Linked DNA regions of Drosophila melanogaster. The protein of the gene in region 1 interacts with the protein of each later gene in a pairwise test. Each region holds a gene or a part of one and is shown on either strand. Other genes may lie near its edges. The genes, in order: stc, C901, CG2604 and Sec23.

Region 1 (9,422 bases):
ATATTTTCACACACCATCAAAGTTAGCTTACGAATATCATTTAAATCCACACTTATCTAACCGCAAAAAGTAATTTCAAACAATTAAAATTCGGTGTTGGTTTTAAATTATATATGATAAATAAATACTTGCATTCATTTTGAAATTGTTGGAATGTTGAATGGCTCAAGTATCGTTCGATAATAGCATATGCCCGCACATTTGCCATTCCAGTTTTATTCAACAATATGTTTTTTTTTTTGGTTTTTTAATTTTTTCTCTTGCCATAACACATAATTAAAATTACGCACACACTTTATACACATAAAATCCAACCTACACTCCCACGCACATGCAGCGGTTACAATTGACCCAAAATGAACTCTTTCCCCTGCAATCTCGCCGGTTTTTGGAGCAATAATCCCCCTGCCCACAGATGCCAACCACAATTTAATCTCCCTGGAATTATTTTCCCCAGCCCATCTAAAGAGGCAGTTTCTCCTTGAAAGCGTTCTTTCTTTCTGTTTCGTTCATTCTCGGCCCTCCTTGACGTGGGGGATTGCCTTGTATTTGTTAATAAACTCCCTGGCAGACTAAATTCAAATTACGCACACATCTTGAGATGATTGGGGGTGGTGGCTGGTGGGTGGATGGCATTTGGTGGGTTGCTGGCAGCCATTTCGCTTATAGGCTGCTCATTATGTCAGGTCTATATTCATATACGACTTGCGTTCTGCCTCTGGATCCGGCCCAAGCCCCGCATCCATTGCGTTCCGGCGGAGTGCGTGAGTTGGCCTCATCCGGGGCTCTCATCCCTCGCCGCTCTGACTTGTCGTAACATTTCATCTTTATTTTGGCATTATTCCCCAGGCGCCGCTTATTGTTTTTCGTGAAAATGGCAACGGCAATGGCAACAAATTAGAGGCCTGTGCCCATAGCCCGAAACGAGATGGCAACGAGTTCGGCTTGTGGGCAGTCCGGGGGATGTTTGCTAGTTTCCTCGACTACCAGGATGGATCAGCAGGTGGAATATCCCTTGAGCACCTCCACTTGGGTTGTTTTCATTTCCGCGCCACTTTAATTATCTAATGGTGAAGCATGACGTCCTATATATTTATATTTTAAATTTGAAATTATTTCTGTTCTAAGCGAAGTAAATTCCAAAATTACTTCAGTTTGAAACAAGCGACCGTTAAATAACAACGACTTACAGCACTGAATACTGACCACTGTTGAAAGCTAATTGCTGCAACATACAAGACATTGTGTTCCATCGCGACATAAATTTGAAATTAAGTTTATAAGACCTTTTATCCATAATTTCTCCCATGAAATAAATTAATTAAAACAAAAAACACAATAATTGCCCTCTGCTCTATTTACTCATTTATTTATCCTTCTCATCTATCGCTTTCCTTTGTATTTAGATGCAACGTGGCCAGAAGGTTTCGCTTTTGGATAAATTCATCGTACAACAGATTGGTTAACATGATTCTTCACATTTGTGCCTGCTTATCCAGTTCACTCCATATTCAAGTATTCAACATTTAGCATTCTAGGGTTCAACTAACATTTGTTATAATTTACAAAATATACGTGGTAACGGCAATTATCCTTCTGTATTGTCCTCGCAGCGCATCCACAAAATTTTCCTCATTTAGGTTCAATCAATAAGTCTTCCACATCCAGGCTTCCATTTGCATTATCTATCCATTTTTAACTATTATTTTCCAGCGCCAACGATTTAATATATTTAATATCTCTGTATACCACACGGATTTGATCTACTTCTTCAATCCCCAAGCATTGTTACTGGGCACCGGGACACGGCGTTGTCCGGACTCACGAGCCAGCACTTCCATGATGCTCGTGGCGGGGAACCAGCACTGCAAATAGTTAAGCCAAATAAGTACGCGATTCAGTTGGTGTTTTACAAAGTTGAACTCACCCTATCCTTATGGGCCGTGGCAACAACATTGCGATTTGGCTCCTTGTCATAGGAAACCGATTCAATCCCAAATACCTCGCACAACTCGTGCACCAGCTGCCTCTTTTCGCGGTTCATGGTGGGGAAAGAGTGGCTCCTCGACCGTTGCTTGCTTTCCTTGGCCAACTTTACCAGGTCGGTCAACGTCTCGTAAACGCTCTTGGTCAGCGCTGGGTTCTTCTTTGCGAAGCCACGAACAAACTCCGAGTACTTGGTTAGACACTTTTGCTTTGTATCGGAATTTCCAGAAGACAGGGCCGCGGCAAGACGACGATTCCTCTCCAGTAGACGACATTCGTCGTTGCAATCCAAACTAAAGACAAAATGTTACGTATATTAATACTAGTGAAAACTTAAATTCGGCTGAATAGACACCACCACTCACGTTTTATTAGATTTCTTGGCTGGAGCCAAGATTTCGCTGAGCTCCATGTAGTTGCCGCGTGACATCTCTGCCATGGACGAGGCCAGCTGGATGGTGGCTATACGACTGTGCTCCCTGGCTAGTTCCTGGCAGCTGCGGTTCTGCTTTCGGTTGCCGCACTCGCACTGCACCTCCACCAGCTCCTTGCAAGGCGTTTCCGGACAGGCTCCCTCGTGACAGGCAGCTGCACACTTATGACCACAGGTCGGTCGTGGCTTGGTGCAGCTCTGCCGGCATATCTCGCCGGCAGACTGACAGGGGCCCTCGTGACACGGCTTTATACACTTGTGCCCGCCACACGGCAACGGCTTGCCACAGGCCATGCCACAGCTAAAGTTGGGCTGCGAGCAGGGAATGGTCTTGCGCAGCTCGTGGTTGCCGTGACACAATTTCGTCGTGAAAATCATGCAGGGCGGACAGGTGGGGCCCGAATGGCAGTTGTGCTGCGGCGGATGATCGCATGGATGAATGCGCGAGCAAGGAAGCTTGCAGATTGGCTTCTTGGTGCCACACGGCACTGGTGGATAGATCACTTCGGCACCACACTCGCAATAGAGCTCTTCGAAACTGCTGCGGTAGCATGGCGGACAATTGCCGCGGTGACACGGCTGATCGCACTTGTGTTTGCCACAACTGAGGGTTCGATTACATGGCAGTGGACAGTCGTGGTCTATATCGATGCAGCACTCAACGTTGCACTTGTGCTTTCCACAGCTGCGCTTCTTGGTGCAACGTCGCTTGCAGCGGGCGTCGTCCGCTCTGTTACATAGCTGCCGACACTTTATCATTTGGTCCATGTGGCCGCAACGACACTTTACACCGGTCTGCTTGGGACATGGAGGGCACTGGCCCAAGTGACATTTGCTTCCGCATTGATGCGGATGCGCTGGCTTTCCACAACGTAATGTCCTAGAGCAGATGCCCTCGCATGTGGGAATCGGGTCCAGGCAGCTTGAACGCTGGCCAGCCGGTACAGGCATTTTGCCACAAGGACAACTTGTTATCTGCTCGGGACTCAGCTTGCAGGGTCTGAAAAGAATCATATTATCAGTTTAATTGTATGAGTTTCTTAGTACTCTGCACAAAGACACGATTGCAAACGCTGAATAATTTAGCATAAAATTGGTTCATACCAAATTCAATTCTGATGTTTTGTGTTAATGTTAATGCACATATTTTAGAAACCTAACACAATTTTCGAGTTTGAGCCGTTTTTTGGGGTTATTGGTTTAAATGAAACCAATACTATAAATGAGTTGAATCAGTTATTCTTACCTACAACTTCCCGCGTGGCAGGAGTCCTTGCACTTGTGGTGGCCGCAGGGAAGCGGTTGACCGCAGCTGTCCTTGCACGAATAGGTGCGTTTGTCCTGCGATTCTCGCGTGCATGGCACCTTGCGCTCCTGCTTGCCGCAGTGGCACTGCTGCACCACTTGCTCGGAACACGCCGCGCACTTGCCCGAGTGGCACTCCGCCTGGCAGCGATGCTCGCCACAGTTAAGCAGCTTGTCGCAGATCTCGCCGCAGAGCACCTCTTCCTTCATGGCGCACTGCATCGTTTTTGTGCTGCGTCCACATCCACAGCTGCGCACCACGTTGGCCTGGCACGGCGGACAAGGGCCTGGGTGACAGAGCAGAGTGCAGGCATGGCTACAACCCTCAATTCGGCAGCAGACCTCGCCACAGCTGTGGGCCAATTCGGTCCGTGATACCGGCGGGTTTTTCAGTTTGCCGCAAAAGCAGAGATAGTCGCGTGGCAAATCCTGCAGCACATTCTGGCAAGCTGGACAACGCCAGCCCACCTCGGACTTGGAGCTACTCGCCCAGGTGATGGTGCACTTAAGGTGCAGCATGTGATAGCAGTTCCTGCACGACCAGGTTGGCTGGTGCGACTTGATCGCCTCCACGCATACAAGGCACTCCAATCGGCGCTGTTCGATGTCGCGAACCAGTTTCTCTCGCTGCGATAGTTTTTCGTTATCCGCCGGTGGTAGCGGTGGACCTCGCCTTGGGGAGATTTGCTGCAGTTGCGACTGCTTTTCGGGCGATGGGTGTGCGCTCTCATTGCTCGTGTCCAAATCGTCAACGGCCCTGGGAAAGCCGTTGATGCGGTCCCTGTTGCGATTCCAGTCATCCCTGCGTTTGTTGCTGCGATGATTGTCGTAGCGTTGCTGCTTCTGCGGCCTCCTACGATCGCTTCTTTCGTACCGGTCCTCCCGATCGTCCCGATAGTCGGAGCGGCGTTGTTGTCGCGTATTTCCGGGTCTAGAGTCCCTGTCCCTGTCCCGGTCTCTGTCCCGGTCTCTGTCCCTGTCTCTGTCCCGGTCTCTTTCCCTGTCCCGGTCCCGGTCACGTTCCCGCTCACGCTCCCGTTCGTAATTATGGTTCGAGCATTGGTTGTTAGCTCCTCGTTCAGCTGGTTCTTGGGCTCGCAGAGTCCTAGGTCTCGTCTCATTTATGGCAGTCTCTAGGCTGGCAGTGCTGTTTCCGTTCGTAGTGGCGGCTGCCGGTGTCTCTTCTAGACTCAGCTTGGCGAAATTGGGCACGAATTCCGGAGCCGAGGCCTGCAGCTTGGAAGCGCTGAAGTCAAACGGATTATTGCCAAAAGGTGTGTAAAAACTCGAAAAATTGCTGTTGCTCGGATTGACCGACCCATAGCTGCTGGTGACGGTGACTCTAGCGATGCCATCGCCATTTTGATAGGTTGGGATCATGGCCTGCGAGTAAAACTGTTTTGTGATTTATTAGTTGATTCATTAGGACTAAACCTAAGTTCTAATATATCGAAACATACATTCGGAGATTGATGACTCACATTTGCAAAGTGGCTGGTACTCGCGGATGCCACTGGTGGGTTCAGTCCAAAGGCTCCTCCACCGCCGCCCAGGGAGAAGTTAGTGTAGCTGCTGCCCACCGGATGTTGCATAGTGCTGGTGGCATTCGAGGGCGCTCCTCCACCCAGATTGTGCTGCATAATGAACTGATTGAAGTTCACGTAATTGTTGTTGCTGTGCCTGTTGCAGGAACCACCCACTGCCGCCGATTCGTGACCTCCGTTGCAGTCTGCCATGGCGGATGACTCATTGCCGGGTCCCGCTTCTCCGGCGCCGTTGGTCAACTGCTGCCAGTACTCAGCCATTGAGAGTCCGGTGCTGTCGTTGGTGACCAGCGTCTGTTGCAGTTGCGCCTGCTTCTTTGCCGGAACAATCTCGAACTGCCCGCCGTCCTCTGCTGGGCATTTCCCAGCGCTACCACGGGATCGTCCGCAATCCGAGGAGGAGGTGACCGAACCCAGGAAAAGCTCCAGACACGTGTGCAATGGTGAAATTGAGCCCAATGCAGAAGTTAACCGAATCGAATTCTCAGTTCGATCGAATTTGGTAAAGGCTTTCTACGGCCAACTGGACGCACCGCAGCCTGGGTCCGCAGGCACGTTTTACTGATTTTTTTGCGCTTTTCCTGCGTTTTTTATGCTCGCTTATATTGTAAATTTCTAACAAAATTTCACAACACGGTCATACCAGACGAAACGGTACCACTGACAATTGCCTTGACTTATCGATATATTAACAGACTTTCGATTTTTGAGGGGAAAAGGGCTGCCAACTCGGTTTTAGGACAGCTGTGAATACAATTTAACAGCAAGATTTCGTTTAGTTACTCAACACACCTACAGTGGTAATAAACTATCAGGTGGCGCCATCTGGCTGAGTGAGAGCGCACTTTTAAATATGTTAAATGTACTGCAACGGTTCGTTCATTTGTTTACTAAAAAAACATACATCTTTTAATTTTTGTCACTAGAAGATTTGAATTAAATAAGGCTGCGTTATCTGATTATAAGCGAAATTACCTAGTTGGACTCCCAATCATATCTCCAATCCAAAATATTATTTCTAGAATCCTGGAATCCTTTTGTATTTGATATTATACTTTATTGACTGGCCAATATATATGCCTATTTTAATAATAATTAATGTCTATTCCTAATTTAATTTCTAGCAAAATTATTGCTTGAAAATAAATGTAAATTGAATAACAACAGTGGAAGTACTGCACTTTGTAATTGCCACAAATTTGGTTGAAACTGGCCGGGCACAACGATTCCACCCATTTAGAATGTCCTGAGATTGCTGAGAAGGGTTTGCTGACTCGGCGGTTGGGATGGACCAGATCCAGGTGTTAGAACTCCAGGAGGTGGCGGCATTTGAAATGTTTGAGCCATGGCCATGGCCAAAGTGGGCGGTGGACCTGTTTGTTGTTTTCCCGGTACTGGAAGTGCGGATGATGTGACCGTGAGTCCATCCAACGGACGGTACTGACACTTCTTAGCGTGGGTTCGCATATTGCTCGACTGGGTGAATGCCTGATTGCAGTTGGGATGTGGGCAGACATACGGCTTGCAGCCTGTATGGTAATTCAGATGCGTCTTTAGGTGATGCTTTTTGGTGAAGGCTTTGGGGCACAGGGGGCAGCTGAAGGGCTTGATTCCCGAGTGGAGGCGATGGTGCAGGGTCATGTTGCTGCGATCGGCAAAGGACTTGCCGCACACGGAGCACTGATACGGTTTCTCACCACTGTGCGTCCTCATGTGCTGTTTGAGCAGCATTTTACGCGAAAATCTCTTTCCGCACTCGTTGCATTTGTGGGGTTTCACGCCGGTATGAATCCGGACATGCATATTGAAGGCCACACGCTGATTGAACGATTTGGGACAGTAAGGACACTCGTACTCCTTCCGGTTCCGGTGAATCTTTAGGTGACTGCTCAAATATCCCTTATCGTTGAATGTCTTGCCACATTCGGGACACTCGGCGGCAAACTCCTTGGTTCCTCGGTGAACGGACAGGTGATATTTGTAATTTCGCAGCTGGGAGAAACCCTTTCCACAATCCGCACACTCGTAACGCGGCGATTTGTGCGTCTTTTCATGAGCCTGAAATAAGAACATAATAGACAAATAAGATAAATAAATAAGATACATTAGCTTAGCAATAGTAATATTGTAGCAATAGTAAGAGATTTAAAATTTTAATAAAAAACCTGAGGTAGTGAAAATCTGTTGTGAAATTCATAAAACAGCGATTTTCTACAAACTGTTCGTTAGTTAGTTAGTTTTTGGAAGGGAGGCTTTCAAGATGAGTATGTTTAGCAACATTTTAATTAGGTCCTAATATTAATACCTTATTCTATAAGTTCTAGTGAGGATTGGAAGATTTCGAATATAAAGTTACTGAAAACTGAGCTTTGGACACATTTATACTTATACAAAATAAGCCAGAAATGCAAAAAATACCATGGTTACACATTCGAATGTTCCCCATTGTTTGTAATAATTTTGTTGCAACTTCAAATGTGGCTTGCTTCAGTTAGCTACTGAAATTGGTGTTCTTTCCCAAAGTGGCCATTTTGTGATTACCTCTCGCTCGGCGTCTGGCCCTTTCTAACGTATCTTGTAGCTGCACCCATGCGTAAAACCAGTTCTCTCTTTTTTGCCCGCTTCTGTTTCTGTTTTCGGCCGACTCCATTTTGAACTCGGATTGCTTGCGAGATTTGCATAAGGCACTCAATTCTTCGCTGCCTCTCTCTTCCCCACTCCACTTGAATCTCCACTCTTTTCTTCGGAGCTCCGCCTTCCAATTAGACTACTGTTTCTCTGTTTTTTAGGCCCCGCCCAAATCCATATGGTATCTCTGTTGGTGAAGAAACCCGTTTTGGGAGGATCTCGTGTGGATGTGGACTTTGAGGACCGGCCAAACGATATCTTATGTGATGTATGGCCATGTGAAAGGTTAATGCTGTTCTTGGCTTAGATGTTTTGAAAGGAGTTAAATTCCTAAAGTTATTTAATGGCTTTGCAATAATAATTCTCAATCATTTAGTACTCCGCATAAACACATATTTCTTTGTGATAAATGTATACGTAACCGTTGATGAGATCTAAATCATTAATTTTTTTGTTACTTATAATTAAAAAAAAAAATACGCGTGCATTTGCCAAATGCTTGTGTGTAAGTACAAACTCTTTAAGTGACTTTACGTATAAGTTTGATTGTGCTATTTAATTTATAAGAAAATTTCATACAATCGTTCATTTCGTTTCGCTTTTTTTATAACTAAACAGCAGCAAACTGAAATAAAATATAATCTGGCAAATCTAAATCATTTCATTCTTAAATTCTAATTGGGAATTGCATATATTTTTTGAATATTTGTATTTCATTTTTTAAAAGTTGAAGGTCTAATGAAATAAAAAAAATTAAAATTCTGTCTACACTATAAATATAAAAATTTGTTTCGTGGGTGTTTTGTGTTTACTCGTTTTTGAGGGATTTTAAGAATAAATTGAATCCTTGGGTTAGAGTTTGGAATATATTTAGGATGAATTATCTTTTCTAAAGCTAATAACTGATAACTAAACGCTTTGGTTGTCATAAATGATATATACTTGTAAACAGAACACCATCGTAATAATAATTTAATAACAATAATAAAATCTCACCTGCAGAGTTTCAGAGCATCCGAATACCTTCTCGCAAATCCGGCACTTGTAGCTGATCTCCTCGGCGGATGTGGCATTGTATCCACCGATACCACCGATTGCTCCACTGTTGCTGCCGACGGCTGTGGTGATCAGTCCACCGGTCATCTTGGGCATCATTCCGACGGCCGTTGCCTGGACCGAGTTCAGACTCAGATTGGTCACGGTGGTCAGTGAGATGTTAGTGCTGGCGGCTCCTCCAGTGGCACTCATAATCAGATCCCTCACAGGACGTATTGATCCGGTGGAACTGCTCACCGAGGAGGCGGCGGGTGAGATGAGAGGTGCGGTCTGCTTATAGCCACCAGTCTGCAATCTTTGGTAATAATCCAGGCACTCCGGGCAATCCGGACGAGTGCATGCGGTGCTTTTGGTGCGTATGAGAGGTTGCTGTTGCTGCTGCAGTGGTGGTGGTGGGGGAACCGATCCATTGATCACATAGGGAGCAAAGAAGCGTTTCTGCTGATTTGGCAAATGCTGCTGATGCTGAT
Region 2 (8,340 bases), on another chromosome or scaffold:
TTATTATTATTATTCGTATCGATATTGTATTGAGTCATTCTCTCTCTCTCCCATACTTCTACATATTTTTTTGTCGATTCGTAAGTCTCCCATACCAGTTACTACATATATTTATTAACGCCCATATGCAAGAGTCCATATGTATGTTTAGATGTCTATGATGTGCTGGTTTCCATATTCCAATTTTCGATACCCAATCCAATCGTACTACCCCCAACTCGGTGGCGCTAAGATGGCCATATAGATCCCCATTCAAACCCGAGCTCGTAGTCCCCCATTTGTCTTAAGTTTAAGCGAACCAAGTGCAATCCGAGTGCAGGAATTGAACTCCCACAGGCTCTGAGTCCAATCCTCTGGTCCCCTATTCATATTTCGATTCAACGATTTCTTGTAGCACTTAAGATTAGCAAACTTTAATAATATCATTTTTTTTTTTTGACATTTGTTAAATCGAAAATTGCTTAGCTTAATCCCTAAAATTATCATAAATAAATACAATTTATATATGTATATCTATCGCAATGGATGGAGTTTTTTAATTGGATGTTTCATTCATTAGTTAATAATAAATATTCAGAAAAAAAAAAAAATTGCTTTGAGATGCTGCATATGTGGGCCCTTAACTGAACAATGTGTATATATATATAAGAGGGATTACTTGTCATTTGTCAGGTTCTTAACTATATAATATTTGGTATGAGTTGATCGCTGTCATCCTCCTCGTCGTCCTCGTCCTCATCCTCCTCCTCATCGTACTCGCCATCCTCATCCTCCTCATCATCGTCGTCATCTTCGTCCTCCTCCTCGTCTGCCACATTTGGCTTATCCTTGTGGCTGGTCACGGATGTTGCGGCTGTTGTAGCCGTTGGTGCTGTTGTTGCTGTTACTGTTACTGTTCCAGCTGGCGCCAAATTTGCTATTGTTTGCTCCTGGCTAGCGACGATGGGCAGCGGGGGGCGTGGCTGAGGTCCTGTCGCTACCGACACGCTTGTTGCATTACCCTTTACGGTTTTTTCGCCAGATGTGAGGGGAATCGGGGTGGCACGCCTCGTTGTAACGGCGCTTAACGCTTCATTAGTCGCATTGTCGCTGCCAGTTTCAGTTGCCACCACCAATGTCGTCCTTGTGGCGTTGCTGTTGCCGGGTAGTGAATTCATGGGTCCTGCTCCAGCTCCAGTTCCTGCGGTTGCCACGTTGGCTACCGTGTCATTTTTCCGCCGCTCCGGCTCGTTACCCGCTGGCAACTTTTCTCCAACCAGCCCGCCTCCTGGCTCGCTGTCATCGGGCACACCTGCACCGATGTCCTGCTGCCCGTTCTGGTCCAGTTCGCCATCTAGTTCCAGTACGAGCTCAGCGGGTGTGGGCGGTGTGATTCGCGGTGGCGCCTCTGAGGTCAGCAGAAAGTCATCGCGTATCTCGCAGTTCTTGCCCAGAAATCCCTGCCGGCACTGGCACTGGTAGCTCCCATCCTCGCGACTCAGCGATGTGCACTTGCCCCCGTTTTCGCACGTATCCGGATGCTCCACGCAGTAGGTGAGCTCTGTGGGTCAACTCGGTCAATTTCCCGTTGGCATGGTCACATATACGGATATACTCACTCTCGTCGCACAGCATTCCGCCCCAGCCGGGATGGCAGTTGCACTCCCATGGCGCCTCGCAATCCCCATTGGCACATCCCGGATACGGGAAGCACTTGTCGCACTGGCTACCCGTCCAGCCCACCTTGCAGCTGGAGAAGAAGGGGATGTCCGTGAAAATTGATGACAGATATGGGTTCGTTTTGCTGTTAGTTTGCTGTTAGCTAACTGAGCCATAATGCTTGGGAATGTTAAATTAAGGATAAAAATAGTTGACTTATCCGAAAAGGGGCACTCCAGCTTGCCGAAACCACATTTTCTGCATTTTCTTTATTGAAATGCTGCTCCTACTTACCGGCACTCGCCAGGTTTGCGGCAATATCCGTGCTGCTTGCTGCAATCTGGGTCACAGATTGCTGGAATGGCGGAATGGAGTTTGGGATTAGTAGGGTGAATGGCGGATTCCTTTGGTGGTTGCAGGACTTACGCGTCTGGCAAAGTAGTCCGGTATATCCGGGTAGGCAGAGGCATTCCAGTGGCTTGTTGCAGGTGCCGTGCTGACAGCCCGGCATCGTGGCGCATTCGGAGCAGGTGCGTCCAGCATAACCAATCCGGCAGCGGCACTCCCCAGGCGCTTCGCAATATCCACGGGTGCTGTGGCATCCGGTACGGCAACTTGCTTTGGTTGCGCGCGGATTGGAGGAAACAGGCAATTGAGTAATCGGATTGGACAGAGTTAGGAATGTTTGATTTGATTGGAAATGTCATATAACAAGTACAACCCCCAAAACGATATTAGTTCCCTATGTTTTAACTCCTTCTCTAAATGCTCCGTTCTTTAAATGTAAGATTGTAATCAGGCTTATCCTTTTCCGGTAACTACTTACGTTCCGTGCAGAAGAGTCCCGCCCAGCCAGGCTTACAGATGCACTCGAATGGCTTGGTGCATCCGCCATGTTGGCAACCTGGAAGCGGAATGCACTTGTCGCAGAGTTCGCCGCTGTATCCGATGCGACACCTGCATTCACCGGGTCGCTGGCAATAACCTGTGTGAATGTGAGTTCAGGGGTCACAAGATAGGGAATCATCTGAAGGAGTAAACATACCATTCATCGGGTCACAGCCCCTTCGACACATAGGCACCTGGCAAAGATCACCCTGCCACCCAGGAAGGCACTTGAAGTCACCTTTTTCATCGCAAACATAGTGTGCATTTTGCCGCTGTTTCTGTGATTTCTCACAGGCCTTAGGTAATCGAATATTTTCGGAATTGGTTCGAGAAAATTATGAACGTTAGGTTCTCCAACTTACTCGCTGTTTCCAGAGTGGAATATTCGAATTACTACTTTGCCGCGCATCGAAGTTGCGTCTATAGGCATTCATTTCCTCCAATTTGAGGGCGGTAATCGCGGTCACCAGCAGGAGAGCCGCCTTTTTGTCTGACAACATATCTAAGTCCGATTTAATAATAATATAATAAGTGTTTGTTGTTTCTATTAATAAATATAATATTATTAATATTATACGTTTGACTACTCCGTTAAAATTCCCTGCAAATAATGGCTTTTATGTGTACATAAAAAGCAAGATCATCTAAGTCGGATCTAACGACCTCTTCACAAAAAAAGTTTCTTAGACTTTAAACCAACTTAATGTGCTGAACTTTATGACTGAATAAAGAAAACCTAAGTGTAGGCCTTGTCAAATGTCTAGATGTTTTCGATTATCGGCTTAAACGAAAAGTGTTTTCGTTTGGCCAAACTTAGACCGTTAAAAGAAATCGACGGCCCACGGCCCCTCGTCGCAATTAACATGTTTGAAGACAACTTTCTTCGCGGCCGAACCAAAAAGAACGGGAATCACACCGCCGACAGAGAACCCGACAACCAAACAACCGATTTCTTGATGAATCACCACTGGCGAGAAGAAATGAAACTTGAAGAATGCAAATGCAAAAGAATTACTTTTAACGGTTAAGACTGCAGCTTCTTGTCGTCGGTCCGTCTCGGTCTGCGATCGCTTTGGGACTAATCAAGTAGCCGCCTCGTCGGACCAGCTGCCTCTGGCCGATTCTCGACTCTTTCTTTAAGTCAAGTCAAGTCAAGTCTTCGCTCTTCTCTCTGTCATTCTTCTGGCCTTCACCGTGAACTCAAGCCTCGAAGCCGAGAGGCAAAGCCAGAGAAAGAGCGCTGAAAGGCACCTAACCGACCATTGGTGGTAATTGGGTCAACCGGTAAACCCAAAACAGCTGAGTACTCAAGCACAGTGGGTCCAGATATGGTTTTTATGGACCACTCTACACTTTGAAAAAGAAGAAAACTAGGAAAACTTGTACCACAAAATCAGGAAATAAATAAAATCTGAAACAATTTTAAATTAATAATGTAATTATACTATAAAGATCTATATGCCTACATATCCAATCTATTAAATGCTTTAATAGCATTAACTATTAAATGTTTCTTTTTATATGCCCAAAAACTATTTATTTTATTTTATTTTACAATTACTTTCGACCCACTGTGCAGCACTGACGATCGAGTCACCAAACAAGTTGTAGATAAACCAGGATGGCTCAAGACTCTAGATTGGTAAATGTTCAAAGACAACATTGGTTTACTTTAAAATTATACTCGTTCTTTATTGAATGATCTCATTATTGGTTTAATTATAATTATAATAATTATTTCGACATTCGTGTGTACCTAAAATCCAGATTAATACTAAGATCCAAACGTTAATTCCGACTCCAGAGGGTTGTCTGCCAGTTGGGTAACCAAAAATTGTGGGCCTTAATCATTTGCTTTTGACAAATGTATCATATATGTTATGTTATGTGTAGAACGTGTGTGTGCTATATGCTTGCGAGTCGGGGGGAACTAACGATTAGACAGATACACTCGTGCACATCCACATACATGTATATATAGGTTCTTTCACTACGCAGCTCGACTCCATTTTCACTGTAGATGTTATGCGGTATTTGATGACTTAGTCTCTAGTTTCTAGTATTATCCGATCCGAGATCCGAGCGTCTTCACAGACCCCCAGCATTTATATTGAGTTGTTGATTGGGTCCTGAGCCCAAATGCTTACACGCGAGTGTTTCCTTAACTAATTAGAGAAATGCTAACCGAAGGAAGTCCACAGCAGCCGTGATATCAATATGGTTATATGATGAATATCATGTGTGTGGAGGAGATCATAAGTCTTTGGAAGTTTTTTTTTAAATTTATAAAGTATCTAAGAGAGCAGAAGTTAGTAGTCCGAAATTGTAGAACCCCTCGAAAACTTCAGAAATATGTGATATTCCTCCATATATACCCTATATTTCACTGGCAGTGTATCCTTTATTTCCGGTTCTCTTCTCTAGCGAGACAAACAAAAAAAAAAATCCTGACCTCATCACACATACATATACATACATATGCTATGATCTTCTTAATCCACTGGCTTAATGTTTAAACGCTTACATACGATGGGGTACTTTATTGATTTTGGGCCGGAAGTGAGGGGGCGTGGCAGGGGCGCGGGTGATATGATATGATATGATGAGTGGGGGAGACCGTACACCATAACCTACACGGAGAAAAAAAAAAATGGACACCGCAACTTGAGTGGGCGGCATGACCACGTCGCCTTAGACGAAGATGAACTGGGCGTGGCCGCACTTCTTGGGCGGACCGACGGTCAGACGGAGCCATTTGCCGCGGCACGACGGCGCCGGCAGCGCGCTCCAACGTGTCGTGCGTCCGGCCAGCCCCTCCCCCCGGCAATGGTAGGTGGGCGGCAGCGTGGGCGAGGGCGTGGCCGGCACAGCGCTGCGCTTTCCCGCTGTCCGGCGGCTGTGCGACATTTGCGACATCTGCGACTGCCGCTGGTGACGGTAGTCGGTACTCTCGTTGCTGTCCGAGTCCAGGGCATTCTGCAGGTCATCCTGCTCATCCTGCTCCGGCTCCTCATCCTCCTCCTCCGCCTCGCCATCCTGATTGGTCGCCTCCTCTTCGCTGCTGGTCTCACGCTGCAGTCGCTCCTCCTCAAGGTCATCCGTACGCTGGCCAAAGGCAGAGGCTGCGGATGAAACTGTGGTCGTGGACGGCGTAGTGGGTCCTTGTGGTGTCCTGGCGGTGGTGGAGCTGCCGGCTGAGTCTTGGATCAATGCCTCAAGGTCACAGCGCACCGTGATGCGATCGCCTGGAAAATAAAACACAAGACAGTCAAAATATTATTTTACACATTTGATTGCATAAATATTAAATACTACTTTAGTTACTTTGATTTTTCTTACCTTCTGTCATCAGGTTATATGGCGGCAACTTGTTGCAGGCTTTAGATGATTTTATTACCTCGAATTCCACGCAGTATCTATAAAGAAAGTTTAAGAATAGCGCAAATTATTAATAATTATACAAAGAAGAGATGCGAATATCTTAATAATTTGCAAAACATTCAAATAGATTTAAAGATGAAATCGGTTTCACTGGCTAAATAATGCTTAATTAATTAATCCATCCTCATAATCTGCATCCTACGCCTTCGAAACGCTCGCTTATTTGGGTATTCACTCATTCAGTCGCTCATTGAGCGATTCATTCGTCCGTTTGGTCCTTCATTGATTATGCATGTCCTTCGGTGACGCCTCATTAGAGGAGCAAAGGATCTGGCTGGCCATTGAGATGTTAAATATTACAATTATTGTAATTCAGATTCAGATTCCATCAACGGACGCAAAGTAGACAGAAACAGCAGCAGGAGCACTGATTTGTGCAATTGTGCGGACTGAAGCGGGCTGCTGAATACAGGACTTCAAAGGAAGAGGAAATGCGAATTGTCTATTAAGCCTAACAATTTCCGTTTCCGTTAGGCAAAAAAGAGCAAAAACAAACATGGCAGGCGAAAAATCGAACTGACAAGTGCCTTTGAGTGTGTGGTGTGCGGGTGTGCGTGTGTAAGTGTGCAAGAGTGTCGAGAGTGTCTGTGTGTGCGTCTGACAGCTGTCAAGGTGTTGACAACGGAAATTGCGTAGGAAATTTCAAAAGTGCCCGACATTTTGGGGCATTTTTGATTTTACCTACCACTTTCCCACCCACCGGAAAGCCAGGCCACTTAACCCCAGGGCAAAAATAAAAAAGAGGGGAAACTCGTGGATATAGCCATATATAGCTAATATACGCTGGCTGCTGCTGCTGCTGCTGCTGCTGCTCCAATGATGAAGGCAGATTAGCCAGGATGCAGCGGAAATGGAAATTGACGTCGCACTCAGACCGCAGAAAACAAGACTCCCCCCCCCCAATGCCGAGTCATAAATAAAGAGAATTTGTATTAAAATGGGAGTCGCCATTGGAGATTGTGCGAGGCGCAGGGGAAACAGCTGAAAGCTTAATTAAGTCCCGGCATAAAGCGAACCGAAGGACCCTCTGCGCCCGGGTAATAAAGGTAAATTGAAAAAATTAATGTAAATAAACAGGCGCCGACGACGCGCCGAGTAATAAAAATAAACAAGGCAATGCACAAAACTCGAGGACCAAAACATAATTAAAGACAAGCAATTTTTGGGCCGGGGGTATTTGTCTGGCCAGGAAACGGAGGCAAAATCAGCAGCAGGACGAGGTCCTACAGCCACGGCAATCATAAAATAAAAAGCAATTGTTATGCTTGGCTTGCGGTGAGCGAAGGAATAGCCACTTATTATTAGCCAGTTCCAGGAAGGCGGTCTTGGCTAAAAATTCGCTCTAAAAGCCCACTGATTTATAAAAAAAAAAAAATGTGACGAGTTGTCAGCGATAAACGGATAATGAAGGGATAAAATGTAAAATGAACCACAAAGCTCAGAATTTTTAATTTATTAACTGATTAACCTTTTAAAGTGCACACAAATCAAAAAATGCAAAAGCACAGTAATTCAATTACAAATAATTGAAACATTATAATCATTTTAAAGTCACACATCAAAGAAAATATTTGATTGAGCGCGTTAATGGAGCTAAGTAAAAACGAATTAAGTTCATTCAGTCAGTCGGTCATTCTGTCCCATCAACAATTTACCACATTCAGTTGAATTTCATTCGAGGCCTTTTTATGAAACAATTCATAATTAGTTTTTAAATGTTAAGGTATGTTAATCTTTAGACTATTGCTCGACTAAACTAAACATCTTGCACTTGTGAAAATGTGAGTTGCGTTTAAAATATTTATAAAATTCTCGCAAATTTTTATGATTGCCAGTAACATTGATATTTAGCTTTGTTATTAGCAGCTCAAAACTGGTTTTATTTTAAAGTAAATAAGCCAAGTTATGAAGAAAACACCGTTTTTTAATATCCGATTTTTAGCCATAATATTATTTTATTTTTTGCTAAAAAATAATCAGTATTTTCTCAATAGCAATAAAAATAGTTGTCCAAAAGTGGAATGTCATACCTCGTTGAATTCGTTACAAAATTCCCTATCGACCTGTATTCAAAGTTGGAAATTCTAATTTTTTGCCATTTTTTGCAAATTTTGATGATGCCCCTTATCGAAAATGCGAAAATTTGTCAAAATTTTGATTTTTTGGAGTCATAAAAATAGTGATAGGGATAGTTAGCTATGCTTATTGGCAGTACAAAACAGTCTTTATTTTAGCGGTGATATATTGTTTGACCAAGTTATGGAGAAAACCCCGCATGTAAATATCCGTTTTTTGGGAAATTTTATTTTTTGCTAAAAAATAATCAGTATTTTCTCAATAGCAATAAAAATAATTGTCCAAATGTGGAATGTT
Region 3 (6,536 bases), on another chromosome or scaffold:
TTAGTTGTTTGTTGCTGCGGACGAGAATTGAACACATAAGCAAAAGTCGCCACAGCGAAGTGGCTGCACTACAAGATACCCCGTGTCAGCAACTCTTTATTAAATATTGCGATTCAAACATTGGCAAACCTAAATGCCATCTCTTTCAACCAAATGGGAATTCGGTGAATCTTAGGGGAGCCAAAATGCTTATCTCGTGTATCAATGGGCAATGAATTGATTCATTTTTCAAAAGAGCGGGCTTACCCAATTTTTTTCAACAAAGTTGTGCCACTAGAACTATTAACCAACTAATTATTAACAAACGAAATGTTTTCCTTTGTCATTCGTTGAATAAGGTTGGTTTGTAAAAGGTTGGGTGTTGAATATGGCTTGCTGGCCATTAGGTGTAACTGTGTTCCAACTCACCGCAGACAATTGTCGAATGTAAATCCGCTGGGACCGCACAGAAAAGGCGATCGGTCTGGGTATTTCATCAAGGTTGGTAAGCCGTTGAACATAATGCGTGGATTTTATAAAATATAGCTGAATACTGGTTGTTCTCGTGCGCGACAGCAATGACAATGTTTCGAGCTTATACCCAAGGCCTACCTGGGATTCTGCTAGAGTAAAAAGAAAATTTAAATTCAGTAACACGACTTATCAGAGGTGGGACATTTAAAAAGTGGTTGGCGTACGCGCACGGCTGCTATCGCTATCGGCGGGCCTATCGAACAATTCCTGCAGACGGTCACTCTACGGGAGTCGCGACCAAATAAAAAAGTAAATAAATGATTGAAATTAAGGCGAAACTGCTGCGTGCGGACTCGGCCATCTACGCCACGGGCGAGAGAGTCCAGTGCCTGATCGAGTTCACCCACAAGGTGTTCTCCGACGAGCCAGCCGCGTCGCAGGCTGTCCACAATGCCAACGAAGCAAGGTGAGCCGAGCTGTTGTTAACTGTTTTTCTTCCCTTGATTCACCATGCAAAACCGACCAGAAGCCAGGAGAACCTGGCCTGGGCCTCGGCGCAGCTGCACTGCTACCGGAAAACTAGCTACTCTACATCCGCGGGCGACCGAGCCGCGGAGCTCACGGAGATGATCGGCAGGACGGCTTTGGATGCGGTGACGCAGGCGCCGGGAGAGGTGATTGTGGCCACCAAGCCCAAGATCCTCTTCTGCGACCTGCGCCTCCAGCCTGGAGAGACCAAGATGTGTGAGTGATGAGCTTGCCCTACTTCTTAGCTTTTTGGTTTTACTAACGAGCAAGTCGCCTTGCAGACTTTTTCAATGAATTCATTCCCCGCGATGGCCCACCCACGTACAGAGGCCACAACATCCGGTACTTCTACAAGATCACCATTGCTACGCAACGGGTCAAGTCCAAGGTGCAAACGCTGGCCGTTCCCATCCGGGTGTTGCCAATTCCCATAATTTCGCGGCCCGACGAACTTCCCGTAACCGTAGAGACCAACGAAGAGCTGGCGCCCACTAATCCGTTCCTGGAAAAGCGCGAGATCAGCGAGCTTGAGATATCGTGGCACCACCTTAAGGCAAGGAAATCTAGATCCCATAAGCAGCTGTACCTTGTCAATGTCCTCTGCTCTGTGTCTTTCAGAACGTAACCGCTCGGCGGGCGCCGAAGTTCTACCGCATCTCGAACAAACGCGGCTTCGTTGGCCGCTTTTGTTTGTTCAAGCCAGCGTATAAGCTCGGTGAGGACATTGTGGGCAGCCTGGACTTTGATCCCGGCGTTAACCCCCGAAAGGTTGGTGATTTTTTTTGTCATTACTCATAATGCGCTTTCTAAAATCCTACTGCATCTTACCAGGTGCGCTGCGTCCAGTTTTCGGTAAAGCTGCAGCAGCAGGAGCTTTCCATCCGACCGCAACCAGTGCAAAATCACCAGCTGCAGTCGCAATCCTCGACGGGCGATGATGTCTCCTCGATGAACTCCTTTGATATGGCCAGCATAGCTAGCGGAGTGTTGGCAGATAACCTCCACAAGTCGGCCACATCGGCTAGCTCAAAGGTTAAGGAGGCGCCTGAGCCAACCGGGAAACTTTCGACCATTTCCACCTCCCACCAAGTGTGCTACGCAACGCTGCAGACCCAGGTCGTGGTACCCATTCCGCTGCACGTAACACCCACATTCCGCACAGACCTCGTCGACGTGCGATGGCGATTGCATTTCGAGTTTGTGACCACAACTTTGATTGACTTTGGCATTCCGAATCCGGAGTCCGGCGAGCTAAAAGCACCGTCTGAAATGCCCGTGGAGACGATGGTATGGAATCTGCCCGTGACCGTCTACGCTGCGAATCCTCTCCAGATTTATGCTCCAAACCAGACATTCAACCTGCTTATAAAGTAATAGCACTTCAGTTAACTGTGTTCTCTTGATGGAAGTAAGTAGTAAGAAGTATTGTATTAATATATTGGAGAACTAATCCAAAGGGTTTCTCACTTTTAAGGCTATATAAGGCCGTTTAGAAAGAGCAAACGAAAGCAACAAGTCGATTACGGTTCCTTTTAAAAACTTCTGAAACCCAATCCCCTCTTACGTCTTTGTAAAATACAAAAATCTTAATTAAAATTTAGTCGAATATACGAATCAAACCGCTTGAAATCAGAAAGTCATGTTCATAGCGACTTGCACCTGGCGATGTTAGCCAAGATAATATTTACATTTTAAGGTAGGAAAATCTGTTTTTCGCATCTTAATTTATTCTGAGGTGCAAAATTCACTGAATTAGATCTAACCCGTTTCGCCTGGACTTTGAAATCGGCAACAACAGCAGCGGATGTGGGGGTTAGTTTAATAAGTGCTTATATAATTACAGTTCAAACCGCGAGTAACAAACAGCCAAGTAAGGTGATTAAAAGAGAGCCGCTGGGAGGGAGAAGTGCGATTCTGGACATTACTTGTTGGCCAGAATCTCAAACTTGATGCCGTGGTCGTGCTTCTCCAACTCGCTAATTAGTCCGGTCTTAGAGAAGGCGGCAGCTGGAGGCAGCACTCCGCCTGTGCTGGGCATCTTGTCCGACTCACGAAGAATGGTCAGTGCCGCTGAGAGCACAGCCACGCAGGTGGCTCCATATCCGGGATTCATGCCCGATACGCGGACCATCAGCGTCTTGGTCGGGGACTCCGTGTATTGGTTTGAACTCTCGGCCAGGCGATCGCTCTTAAGCCAGCCACTGGCCTTAAAAGTCATCTTGAAATAGGTGCGCTCCATTGACTCCTCACTTGGGCCGGAACGAGAGGCCAATCCGCCGGAGAAGAGACCGGGGTAATTGAGCAGCAGCGTACGTCCCAGCTTGAACTTTGACAGCAGACCGAAGATGGTGGCAAAAAAGATGACACCGCCGGCGACCAGCCAAGACGAAAATCCCACGTAGGCCTGCATCTGGACCGGACGTTTCTTGTCCTGGTCGTAGAGGAAGCGCTGGGACCTCATTACCACCGAGCGGTCGGAGCCGGGAAAAGGTAGACACACCTTGTCAACCTCGGTAGAGCGGAAGACCAGCGGTCGTGGCTTGAGAAAGGGATAGAATCTTGGCAGTCTCTGGGGATAGATCTGCTTCCGGATGCCGCGCAGCTCGTCAGAGTGAGCTAGCCCGTAAACGGCGCTCTCCCAGGTTCCGTAGTTGAGGCCGGCAGTGCCTCCGCCACTGCCGCCTTCTTTGATTCCGGTCTCCAGGAAGGTCTCCACGGAGTTCACCACGCCGTCGAAGTTTTTTTCCACAAAGACGACGCCCATGTCGGCGGGTATGGAGTCAAAGCCGCAGGCGCTGACCACGTACACGCCCTTTTCCCTGGCCAGCTGATCGTACCTCAGCTGCATGGTCTCCATGTACTGGGGCTCGCCGCTAACATCCACATGGTGCGTGCCCGATTCGATGCAGCACTTCACGACGTTTTCGCCGTGAAAGCGGTAGGGTCCTGCCGTGTTCACCACAATCCGGCACTTTTTCGCCATCTCAAGCAGGGAGGCCTGGTCGTTGACGTCCGCGATGAAGATGGGCACCTGCGAGAGGTCCTTCTTGGCCTTGGCGCCCATCTCCTTCAACACCGCCTCCAGCTTCTCGCGGTTCCTGCCAGCGATGCCCCATCGCAAGCCGCGCAGCACCGTGACCGCCTCGAAGACCGTGTACTTGCCGGTGAAGCCACTGGCCCCAAAGATAATCACATCCAGTCGATCGCCAGACATTTCGCCGTAAGTCGCCTTCAAAGATTCGATGTCAGATTGCGCGATATTGCGATATCACTGGAATCGCAGCTGCGACTTAGCACGCTGTATGGTATGGAGTAGATAAACGACCGCTCACCTGTATCGCTGTCTACTGATTCCGCCTACTGAGCTGCTAATCGGCGTTCTTATTCAGTTAATTCAAATACACATGCATCGTGTACGTATGTAGGTGGAAAATCCAACCGGCCAAAGTCGAAGCTCTTCTGAATGGAGTTAGGGGTATTCCTGCAAGCGTCTAATGGCCCGACTTCACTGATTCTAAGGATTGAAGGAGTGTTTTCACCGTCTGAAATTTGTTTGAGTCTGGCTGTGAATGGTCAATTCGATTTATTTGTGATCTTTTGTGACTATGACTCAAAAATGTCATTCAGTGGGAGAGCTATCAGTGAGCTTAATGAAATTAACAGATTAACTTTCTAAATTAGTCTAATCACTTGTGATAGAATGCTTATGTAAGCGTTCCCCTGCCATGCCATTGGATGCATTCAAAATACGAAATATCTATGTCGGAATCACTATACCTATTCTATTTAATTTACTCTGCAAGATGTAGGGAGGATGAAATACGATTCGTTTCTTGGTCAGAGGGTGGAAACTCTGCCTCATAACTTTATGAGCTGTTAAGATTCGAATTGAAGGAGATTTTCGCTTTGTCTTTTTCTTTATACTTGTCGTTCAAAACTTGTGCTATGTACATCAATTACAATTACAAAATGAACATTTTGATATCACATTTTGAAGTGTGAGCTTCGAACTGAAGACTGTGGCCATTAACATTCCGCACGCCAATTCCAGTTATTCAAAATAACGATACTGCCTAACCGGTTGAACGGACACGAGCAGAGCAGATGCGGTAAGCCAATTGCAGATCAATCACCCGATGCTTGGGGAAGGTAAGAGACTTCCGGAATTTCCTGGATAAGTATAAAGTGTGAAGCTAACAGTGGGACACCAGCATTCTCCAAGCTGCATCAACTCAAAATGAGGCTGCATCTTATACCACTGGTTGGACTCCTTGCACTGATTATGGCCCAATCCCAAGTACTCCTACCGGGACTTCGCGTGCGACAGGTTCCCGTGCTCGAAATGGGCCAGATTCCAGTGGTGCAGTACCTGGACGCGGCCTCCACAGTCACTCCAGAGCTGGTAAAGGATCAGTTCAGCAGGCGATTCACTACGCTGGCCAAACCCTTGGTCAGTGGTGCTGCTCCCCAAACCAGTCTCCCAAATTTGTAATTTATTGTTACCGCCTAAGAGTCCATTTGATAAGCGAATATATACATAAATATTAAAGTTACGTCTTTATGCCATTAACTCTAGTTGCTAAATAACCTTGTAACCTACTTTAAATTGTACTTAATCTATTAAGAAAGAACTTTAAAATCGGGTAAAATTACCAACACGCACAGTTGGTGGTATGCATACACATTTTAATATCGAATAGAAACAAAATATTCCCAACATCCTGACCTTTAAACAAGAGAATATCAGGATCCTCGAATATTAGAGCAACAAAATTGGTCACGATTAAGACCACAGAAGTTTGTGTTAACGTGGGATCTTAAATTGACTACAATAGCTCGAATTTAAAAATAAATTGTGCCTAATCTTATAGAGTATTGAAATCGCGTTAGTAATTATAAGGACTGCCCGTTTACGTGCTGGCTAATAATATAAATATTTCGAAAAAGTCATATATCCAGTACCAGTCCTTCTGGCAGAGCCACCTGTTCTTCCAGTCGAATTTGGACAACGTCTGACTGTGACGCAGTTCACCAACGAGACTTCTTCGAACGACTTGTTACTGCAAGACTGCTCCATGGTGCAAGACTTGCGATATTTTATGTCGAGTTTATTCATTCGGATTATATGGATCTCTCTGAAGTTCTCTGACTATCGCGTAAATGACAATTAGAACAACTAGAAACCATCGACAAAGGAAGAAACCAATATCCAAGCGATGAGCTTTAGAAATTGTGTAATTCCAACAGCTCAGATAAGTTGGCTAACTTGGCTGTTATGCAAGTTAAAGTATCTGATACTCGCCATCGGTCGCTTGCTACCATGGAATCATCTGCTAGATCAGACACGATGATCCTGCATCTCGTTTGATCCTGCAAGCGGGATACAACGAAACAGCACCCCAAGCTCGGTGGTGGAGAAAACGAAAGACACGATTCGAGAAACTACAACCCATCCACCGAAGTTGGGCAATCTAGCCCACAATCGAAGCGGATGGTTAAACTGCAGCATTATCTAGCTTACCCGAGGACAATAGCACACTGGGAGCCATAAGAAA
Region 4 (8,406 bases), on another chromosome or scaffold:
CACATGACGTCATCGATAGTTATATACGTATATATGAGACGGGGGTGGGTGGGGGCAAAAGTCGACGCCTATCACCGATATTGGGGCTGGCAATTATCTAGTGTCCGAGAGCGTGTAATTTCAATATTCCGGGCGCGATAAGCGCACAATTGAAATTGCCACCGCATTGGAACTTGTATCCAATGTTCGACCAGCTAGTATCAGCTAAGATGATAAGGCGTTCGCTCTTATCAGCCAGATTTTATAGCAACTAATTCCGAACGGGCTTAGACTCATGCCCACACTGTTCGTAAATAGGTATCGTTCGAGTTTTCCATGGCAAAAGTAATTTATCTGAACAGTGTCGTTCAACAAAAACAACTTTATTAAATGATTTAACTTGACGGACTGTTAAATCGCTTATTAAAGTTAATATCATATAGGTATTTACAGTTGAATGTACATGTTTTAGTACTATCTTAATTGTATTTAATTCAAAACTAATTATCGATTGGTTAATTTTTATCAATTTTATTTTCCAGTCACCCCCAACCAAATCGAGCGACTTTACTCGCGCTTCACCTCCTTGGATCGCAATGATTGCGGAACCTTGTCCCGGGAGGATCTGATGCGTATCCCGGAACTGGCCATTAATCCGCTGTGCGAGCGGATAGTTCATTCCTTTTTCGCTGAGAGCAACGACGATCGGGTGAACTTCCGGCAGTTCATGAACGTCCTGGCCCACTTCCGGCCGCTGAGGGATAACAAGCAAAGTAAGCTCAACAGCCGGGAGGAGAAGCTGAAGTTCGCCTTCAAGATGTACGATCTGGATGACGATGGTGTGATCAGCAGAGACGAGCTGCTCTCCATCCTGCACATGATGGTCGGGGCGAACATTAGCCAGGACCAGTTGGTCAGCATTGCGGAGAGGACGATCCTGGAGGCGGACCTGTGCTGCCAGGGCAAGATCTCGTTCGAGGACTTCTGCAAAGCTCTGGACCGCACCGACGTGGATCAGAAGATGTCCATACGGTTTCTCAACTAGGCTAGCTGGATGCGGCAATCACGAGGAAAGAGCGACCTTCTTAGTCAGTGTGTACCAAATAGTTTAGGATGCAGTTAGTCGAGAGGCATTCCGGCGGGTTACTGAAAACTCTAATGATTTGAAAGCAGTGGTTGCTATTCTTATTATACCAGTTGTGTTTTCCAACCATTTAGAAGTTTCAATTTAATGAATGAAAATGAAAGTGTCGCAAAGTTTTTTAAACCTGAGTAATTTGCCCAAAGCTTATCGAAGATATTTCATTCAAGTTAAACAAAAAATGCATATGTTTGATCACGGGTGCTAGAGAAATACAGAAAAATATAACCAATTGCTTGGTATCTAAAAGTTAAATGCGTCCGGAAATTTGATCAAATATTTATGATAAAAATATAAATAAATCTTTTGCTGTCTTATATTACAAAAAAATAATTTTTACAAATCTTGTAGGTTTCAGGAACCCGTCGGATTTACTTGTATTAATAGTTGTTATGAAGAATGAAAGAGATGCTCATTTCATTTTGTTAATGCCTTGTTTTTATAATTACAAACTCATTCCGCTCAACGTAAATTCTAATTCAGCTGCTTACGAATAAAAGCATCGCGGATTAACACACTTATTGTTGAACATAATTTGAATAGTTTATTGCGTTATAAGACGATCAATTGGAATAAGTGGTTGTATATTCGTAATTTCATTGCCTGGACCATTGATTCCAGGTGTCGTTCGCCTTCTTCGACTTCGCCAGGGAAGCAAGCGCCTGAAACTAGAGCCAGAGTCGATTTATGTGGTGGTGGACACAGCCAGCTTCTTGAGGTGCTCCATGAACAGCTGCAGCGAAACGTCATCCGTGAGCACTGGAGCCCCGCCATCCTGTCGAGATAATGTCCGGAAAATTAGTCATGCGATGGGTGGGTGGGATCGTGCCAAGTGGGGAGGGGAGGATGAATGAAAAAGGGATACAAGCACCTAGAAGGGTCCAACACCAAAAGCCACTTATATATAAATCATGTTTGAAATTATTAAAAACAATATGAAAAAATAGGAACAGACAAAATCTTTGCTTAGATTAAGCCGTGTGGGGTTGGCCATCTTAGATTTATTGCAAAATCCAAAACACTTATTTTGGACTTATAGCTATCAAGAGCAAAGGACATATCCAATTTCCAAAGATTTTTTACCCGCCCCTTAAATTTCAAATATCCACCTTTCCACCAGTTTAAAAGTTGAAAATTAAACAAATATGTACTACCGTGACTTGACCGATGGGCGCCTGCGATTGACAAAGGAGCGGTTACGGATACGGGTACGGATTATACAATGAGAGAAACAAAACCAACATAAAACGAGATTGAGATTTCGATTGAGATTAAATTTTCGATGACGCCAAATGGAGCGCTGCAAAGATCAATCAAATGTGGCCAGTTGATGGCGCTGGCTGCGAGACTCACCTGCCCGTAGGCGTACATGTTGTTGTGCGTCTGCGAGGGATTGACCTTGGACAGCAGGAAGCGGGCCTGGGATCCGCCGTGCTCCGTATCGATGTAGCGAGGCATGGGGAAGCGCGTCTGAAGAATCTCTTGCGCGTCGTCCACCGGTGCTTGCAGCAGCTGCTTGAAGTTCTCGTACTCTGGCATGTCCTGGTATTTGAGGGCTCTCCACTGGGCGATGGTCTCGCCGTGGTAAATCAGAATCTGAAAGAACGTGTCCATCAGGAGGATGCGATCCGCCTGGATGGAAGCCGTATCGAGGAGGACCGGTTCTGGAGGGCCGTTGAACGAGTAGCTGTAGAGAATAGGCTGGATCATGATCAGCGATTGGGTGAGGTCCTCGCGCATTAGCATGTGTCGATAGAATGTGGTCTCGTCGGGCGAGTTGTTGAAGACCTGCAGGAACTGCGAGCGGCGCAGGTGGTACATGAATTGCGGGAATAGGCTGAAGTTTTGCGACAGCCTGAAGCTGTTGGGATCGTCCTTTGAGTACTCGCCGAACTTTTGGCACTGTAAAAGGAAAGCATTTACAATACTAATTAATTGGGCACGAGTAATTTTGCACATTGAAAACTTACCAGACGAATCAACTGACGATCGACCCAGCGCAGAATGTCGGGTCCTTCGTCAGTCTCCGCACGATAGACGACCATACGGGCCATCAGAACTGCGGCGGCCTCCTGATCGAAGCCAGCGCTGATGTGGTGCACGTTCGAGGTGGCATCGGCCCAACTGAAAAACAAACAGATTGAACCACGTAAGTAAACTCTGGGCTGATTTATGCCAACACATACTTTCTGGCCAGTGTGGTAACTCGGATTCGCCGCTGTCCACTTGGGTGCTGGTACTGCGTAATGAACTGTATGCAGCCACGCCCGCCCTGCGGAATGGGGGCTGCATGCTGGTTGACCACCTCAAAGAAGTAGGCTACGGTGGAGCTGGGATTCAATGTGCACAGCTTCCACTGCACCGTGTTGCCCATGCCGATCTCCACATCCGACACCGACGGGCTCTTCACATTCAGCGACACACACGAGCCGATGCCACCGGAGATCTTCAACTCGCGCGAGCACTTCACCTCCAGCGTGGCATTGAAGGCCATCTTCAAGTCGTTGCGACCATCACGTGCGAAGACGCGTTGGAATGTCTGCTTGAAGAGCGATGAGTTGAACGAATCGCCCATGACCATGTGGCCGCCAGTGGAGTTGCATAGCTGCTTCATCTCCAGCAGTCCGGTTTGGTCCAGGGCACACGAGTATATGTCGACACTATGCCCGTTGGTGGCTGCCCGCAATGCCAAAGCATCATAGTGTTTGATAGCCTTCTTCATAAACCGCACGTTGTCCTTGTGGATGTCGTGATGCGAACGAATCGGGTGCTTCAGCTCGTCGTCGACCACCTGGCCGGGGCCCTGGGAGCAAGGGCCACCCACGAAGGTCATAATGCGACCGCCCGTATTGGGATAAGTGCACTCCAACAGGCCCACCGCAATAGATAGGGCGGCACCAGTGGAGCGCAGGTAACGCTTGCCCTGCGGCACCGGCCAAGGATCGCGTTGCAACTCGCTAAGCAGATCGCCCAGCGCCGCGTCGCACTGGCCGATCGGTTGCAAGAAGCGATGGGCGGGCGGCACAGGGGCCGCCGCTCCAGCCGGCTGGCCGGGCAGGTGCTGCTGTTGCTGCGGCCCCGGAGCCGCTCCACGCCCAATTCCGAGCATATCCTGCACCTGCTTGGCAGTCAGGTCCTTGGTACCACGAAACACATAGCTCTTAGAGCAGCCTTCCGCGCCCAGCTCGTGCACCTGTATCATTTTTCCGAAGGTTATCAGACCCACGAGAGCGTTGGTTGGCAGCAGACTTAGCGACATTTGCAACGAATCCTTGAGGGCGTCCAGCTCCTCCTCGTCCATGCAGGTGTCAACCAGGAAAATGAAGACGGGCGGCATGGTGGGGGCCCGTGTAATAGTATACTCAATAGTGCTGAATCCCGGAATCAGCTCCGCTGGTTGGTGCTGCTCGGAAATGGCAGCATATTGAGGGGGAAACTGGAATAATGACTGTCATAAACTGCCGCAGAGAGTCTAAAGATCACCATTGAGCTCACCGGATTGCGCTGAAAACAGAAGTTGCACACCCACAACTTAGCACGGTAGTCCACCTGGCACAGTGGATTCAGGATGGCCCTGCAGTTGCTGCGAGTGCACAAGACCGGCTCATATTGAATAGGCGGTAGGTCGGGGCGCTCCTTCAAAGGCTGGTAAAGACAAGCTAGGGGCACCACCAGCCGACTGGCTTCGATGCGACTTGAGGGCCACACATTCCACGTCAGCCGCACTCCGTCGCGGTCCTCGTTCTGCTGGATGAACTCCTCGTAGGTGGTCATCGCCGGAACACTTAAATGTAATACTTAAATCGGAAAAACCTCTGTTAGACCTCTGCCAATTGGAAAAATCGGTCGGTCAGGCCACGTCACGGATTGACAGCGAGTCGTGACACCTTTCGTGCTGGCGACGGCCAAAATACTCACGCGAAAGTAAACAAATTCGCGAGATGAGTCTTTAAGAGGCTCTTCAAATCAAAGCACTCACTCTGGAAACAATTTATACAAACGTACAAAACGTAGAAACCTAGACTACGAACTATTACAGAATTTTAAGTGCAAACGTTGCATGTTAGGGAAGACAGTTTTCAAGCGATACTATCGCATGCGCCCCATGCGATTGAATGAATGTTTTAATATGAGAAAAAAAGGGTGAAAATAAATATGTTTTGAAAATGATAAATAAAACAAGGTTCGCCCATAATTTTTTCAGTTAATTTTCTTAATGATATATATTGTTATTCAAGAAGTATATATAATATAAATAAATATAAATCGTATTCCTAGAAAAGCCCCTTATCGTTTTTCTTATCGCCCCAACTAAATTTTAACATTAAGTTTTTACCCAACACCCCATGTATCGATTGCTATCGATGGCCAAACTATCGCACCGTGGAGTGCATCCCTGGTGCAGCTGTTTACTCGGCATTGTGTGTGTGTGCGTGTATTTTTTAGAGTTGAGTTGTTTCTAAGATGGCGACGAAAAAAACGCGTCTTCTTATGTGAAAAATGCAATCATAACAACTCGAGTTTTCTGCTAATAAATGTGCGCTAGTTTGGAACAGGACCATTGAAAAACAGTGCTAAGCGTGTGCCGAGTGTTTTGCATGTGAAAGTTTTGGTGCGGTAGCGTAGTGAAAATGGCCACAAATATGTATCGAGTCGGAGGTGAGAAAAATTTTCGCGTACTCGCTTTTCTATCATCTTTCGTTATCGGCGCCGCCGTTTCACGGTGTGCGTGTTCGCTTCTGCATATGTGTGTGTGTGTCCAATGTGTGCGTATGCGTGTGTGTTGTGTCTGAGGAGGCTTTCCAACAATAACGAAAGTGCATTTTAATTGCCGAAAACCCTTTAGTGGGAGACCCGACGCACGTGTATGTGTGTGTGTGTGCGTGTATTATCAATCTCAAGAACAATCCGTCGAAAAGGAGAGACCTTTTCTATTTTTTTTAACTTCTTTGAAGGAGCCCCCTGCTGCTCTTGTGTCGCAGCTGCAGCAAGTGTTTTCGACGTGTTCCAACCGATAAGCATTAACTTATGCCCTAAGTGTATGCGTGTGTGTGTATTCTAGGGCTGGGGAACTGAATTGCATTTGCATTTGGATTTGGTTTTGCCGAATTGTGATCTCTCCAGCGTGTGTGTTTGTTTGACTATGTGCGAAAGTGTATCTCACTTTTGGGCTCACCGCCCACCCGCCTTTTTGTGTTTTCATATGCTAATGAGCTTTTGAGCATCTCCCCCCATCTCACGCCTCCCACTCCTCACCCTGCCTGACGCACTTTCTGTTAGCCATCTCGCTCGCGCTCGAGCGGTGACGTTATTGTGTTGTCTTCACCTGATTTTCGCAAGTGTGTGGGTGTGTGTGCTCTTTCGAAATGCAAATAAGCTCGGTCGGATACGCAAGCTTTCAATTAACGGAATCAAAATAAATATTAATGGCATATATACTTGTCGAATTATCTGCTCTTTATCGCCGAGAACTTTTTGTCTCCATCGGCGTTTTTTGTTAGCCGTTTTTAATGGCCACGCACACAGTTACACACCTTCGGCAATGCTTTCTCGCTGCCTCCACACTTTCTTTTTCATCTCTCTTCATCTATCTACCCATCTATCTGTGTATCTGCATCCCAAAATGTAGCAGAAGTGCACACGACGTTTGTATCTATGTATGTATGTACATACAGATAAACGGAATTTCTTTTATTTTTTATAATAGTCAACGACAGGTTCCGCTGCAGTTGTTGTAGGTATAAAGTTATATGGATGGATAGACCCATATGTATTTAATTGCGCTTTAGCTGGTAGTGGTGGTCGCACTTAGGTGGATGCGTGTATAGGTGTATGTGTGCGCTTACCTGTGACGTATTAATGGAGTTGCAGCCCCCCACCCTTCCATGCCCTTTTCTGACCCTTTTGCATCAGCCACCTCAAAAACTGTTTTTTTTTCAGACTATGTTTACGTTGAGACAACGCCGAACAGTCCCTACTTAATACGACGCATCGAGGAGCTGAACAAAAACCAAACCGGCAATGTGGAAGCGAAGGTCATGTGCTTCTACCGCCGCCGGGATCTGCCCAATCCGCTCGTGCAATTGGCCGACAAACACCAACGTGAGTAGAGAAACCCTGTTCCCTCGAAACCGCATCCATATCTTGCGTTACGTTACCTCTAAGTGTGTATATTTATTGTCAACAAAGTGAGGTTATGTTGCCAAGAGTCGTTGTCGTGGCCTTCAAACAAGTTAAGAGTTAAAACCTGACGACCAGATCTGCTAAGCACATGCCCACCACAAAACAACAACAAAATGAACCCGTAAGGGGCACCACTGTGTGCGCTGTGTCAAGGCATGTGGAAAGCGAAGCCACCCACCGAACCACCCAACCTCCCACAGTGCCACCCCATCCCGCAATCCTAGTCAAACTTCCTGAGCAACAAGAACCGCAATGACAACAACTGTGAGGGCGGAGCGAAAACGGATTTCGTCCAGCATCCGACTCATCCACATAAACAGGCAGTGGAACCTTCAAACAACCTGCCACATCAACTGGCAGTGTAACCACTCTACTTCGAACCAGAAGCACCATTGATCTACGTTCCAGTAGCGCAATTTGAATTATTCGTGTCGCAAATTAGAAAAAGCATTTAGCAAATAGTCTAAAAAGATATTGGTCATAGAAACTAGGTGTTTTGGGAACTGGTAATGAACATAAACACGCATCGTGGTGCGGAAATAGCCTGTAAATTATTAAGTTCAACCTTAGGCATACATATGTACATACGTTAAGGTGCCACCGGTTTGCTCTAATGATGCTCGACTGTAATGAGCTGGGCTGCACTATACTACCCGTAATGCGGTTGTTGCTGTTTTCGGTTGCTGCTAGGCGGCGCCGACGTCAATGTGAATGTGATACTTGGTTCGGCTGTAGGTAGACTACAGTAGTAGTCTGTCTACCTCTGAAAAGCTGCCACACATACCCATGCCCAACCCAACCCCAAACCCACTGACACTGCTGCTCTGTGTGCACGAAAATGTTCAAGTCAGAAGTTGGGATCTGGAGGGGATTGGAATGGAGCAGTGGAGTGGAGTGAAGCTATGGCGATGTGGCACACGCAGGAAGGCGCGCTTTGCATTTGTGTATACATACACACAGCGCCTTCATCCACTTCCTCTTCGCCGTTCCAAAAAACTCACAAAAACCATGCCCAATTGGGTTGAATTTTTGGCTTTGGCCACCCACTCGAATTCGATACGTGACCGTCGCGAAAATGCGTTTTCCGTGGGTCTGACCTGGCA

Evidence for each region.
Region 2: the proteins of stc (region 1) and C901 interact in a two-hybrid assay, tested with the Drosophila melanogaster proteins (one large-scale study listed by BioGRID).
Region 3: the proteins of stc (region 1) and CG2604 interact in a two-hybrid assay, tested with the Drosophila melanogaster proteins (one large-scale study listed by BioGRID).
Region 4: the proteins of stc (region 1) and Sec23 interact in a two-hybrid assay, tested with the Drosophila melanogaster proteins (one large-scale study listed by BioGRID).

The regions. Positions count from the first base shown.
Region 1 is NT_033779.5:15,109,997-15,119,418, reverse strand, and holds stc (shuttle craft), read right to left. Parts: upstream 5,940-9,422; 5' UTR 5,530-5,939; coding exon 5,185-5,529; intron 5,120-5,184; coding exon 3,666-5,119; intron 3,420-3,665; coding exon 2,352-3,419; intron 2,280-2,351; coding exon 1,928-2,279; intron 1,866-1,927; coding exon 1,764-1,865; 3' UTR 1,350-1,763; downstream 1-1,349. Other genes in the region: CG15269 (uncharacterized protein), read right to left, coding at 6,505-7,326, 8,893-9,422. UniProt on the Drosophila melanogaster protein: Plays an essential role during the late stages of embryonic neurogenesis.
Region 2 is NC_004354.4:10,963,527-10,971,866, forward strand, and holds C901 (C901), read right to left. Parts: upstream 3,609-8,340; 5' UTR 3,542-3,608; intron 3,029-3,541; 5' UTR 3,027-3,028; coding exon 2,889-3,026; intron 2,823-2,888; coding exon 2,684-2,822; intron 2,624-2,683; coding exon 2,465-2,623; intron 2,257-2,464; coding exon 2,065-2,256; intron 1,994-2,064; coding exon 1,933-1,993; intron 1,730-1,932; coding exon 1,599-1,729; intron 1,541-1,598; coding exon 681-1,540; 3' UTR 506-680; downstream 1-505. Other genes in the region: vex (vexed), read right to left, coding at 5,218-5,771, 5,866-5,942.
Region 3 is NT_033777.3:5,218,937-5,225,472, forward strand, and holds CG2604 (uncharacterized protein), read right to left. Parts: upstream 4,430-6,536; 5' UTR 4,314-4,429; exon of another isoform or gene 4,211-4,313; 5' UTR 4,196-4,210; coding exon 2,903-4,195; 3' UTR 2,696-2,902; downstream 1-2,695. Other genes in the region: Prosbeta2R2 (proteasome beta2 subunit-related 2), read right to left, coding at 1-14, 409-500; CG1116 (uncharacterized protein), read left to right, coding at 771-919, 980-1,197, 1,263-1,534, 1,600-1,749, 1,813-2,355; CG14664 (uncharacterized protein), read left to right, coding at 5,219-5,473.
Region 4 is NT_033777.3:5,645,870-5,654,275, reverse strand, and holds Sec23 (secretory 23), read right to left. Parts: upstream 5,212-8,406; 5' UTR 5,039-5,211; exon of another isoform or gene 4,918-5,038; 5' UTR 4,895-4,917; coding exon 4,616-4,894; intron 4,557-4,615; coding exon 3,307-4,556; intron 3,245-3,306; coding exon 3,091-3,244; intron 3,023-3,090; coding exon 2,474-3,022; intron 2,296-2,473; coding exon 2,272-2,295; intron 1,896-2,271; coding exon 1,806-1,895; 3' UTR 1,647-1,805; downstream 1-1,646. Other genes in the region: elm (ethanol sensitive with low memory), read left to right, coding at 522-1,024; MTA1-like (metastasis associated 1-like), read left to right, coding at 5,752-5,779, 7,061-7,222.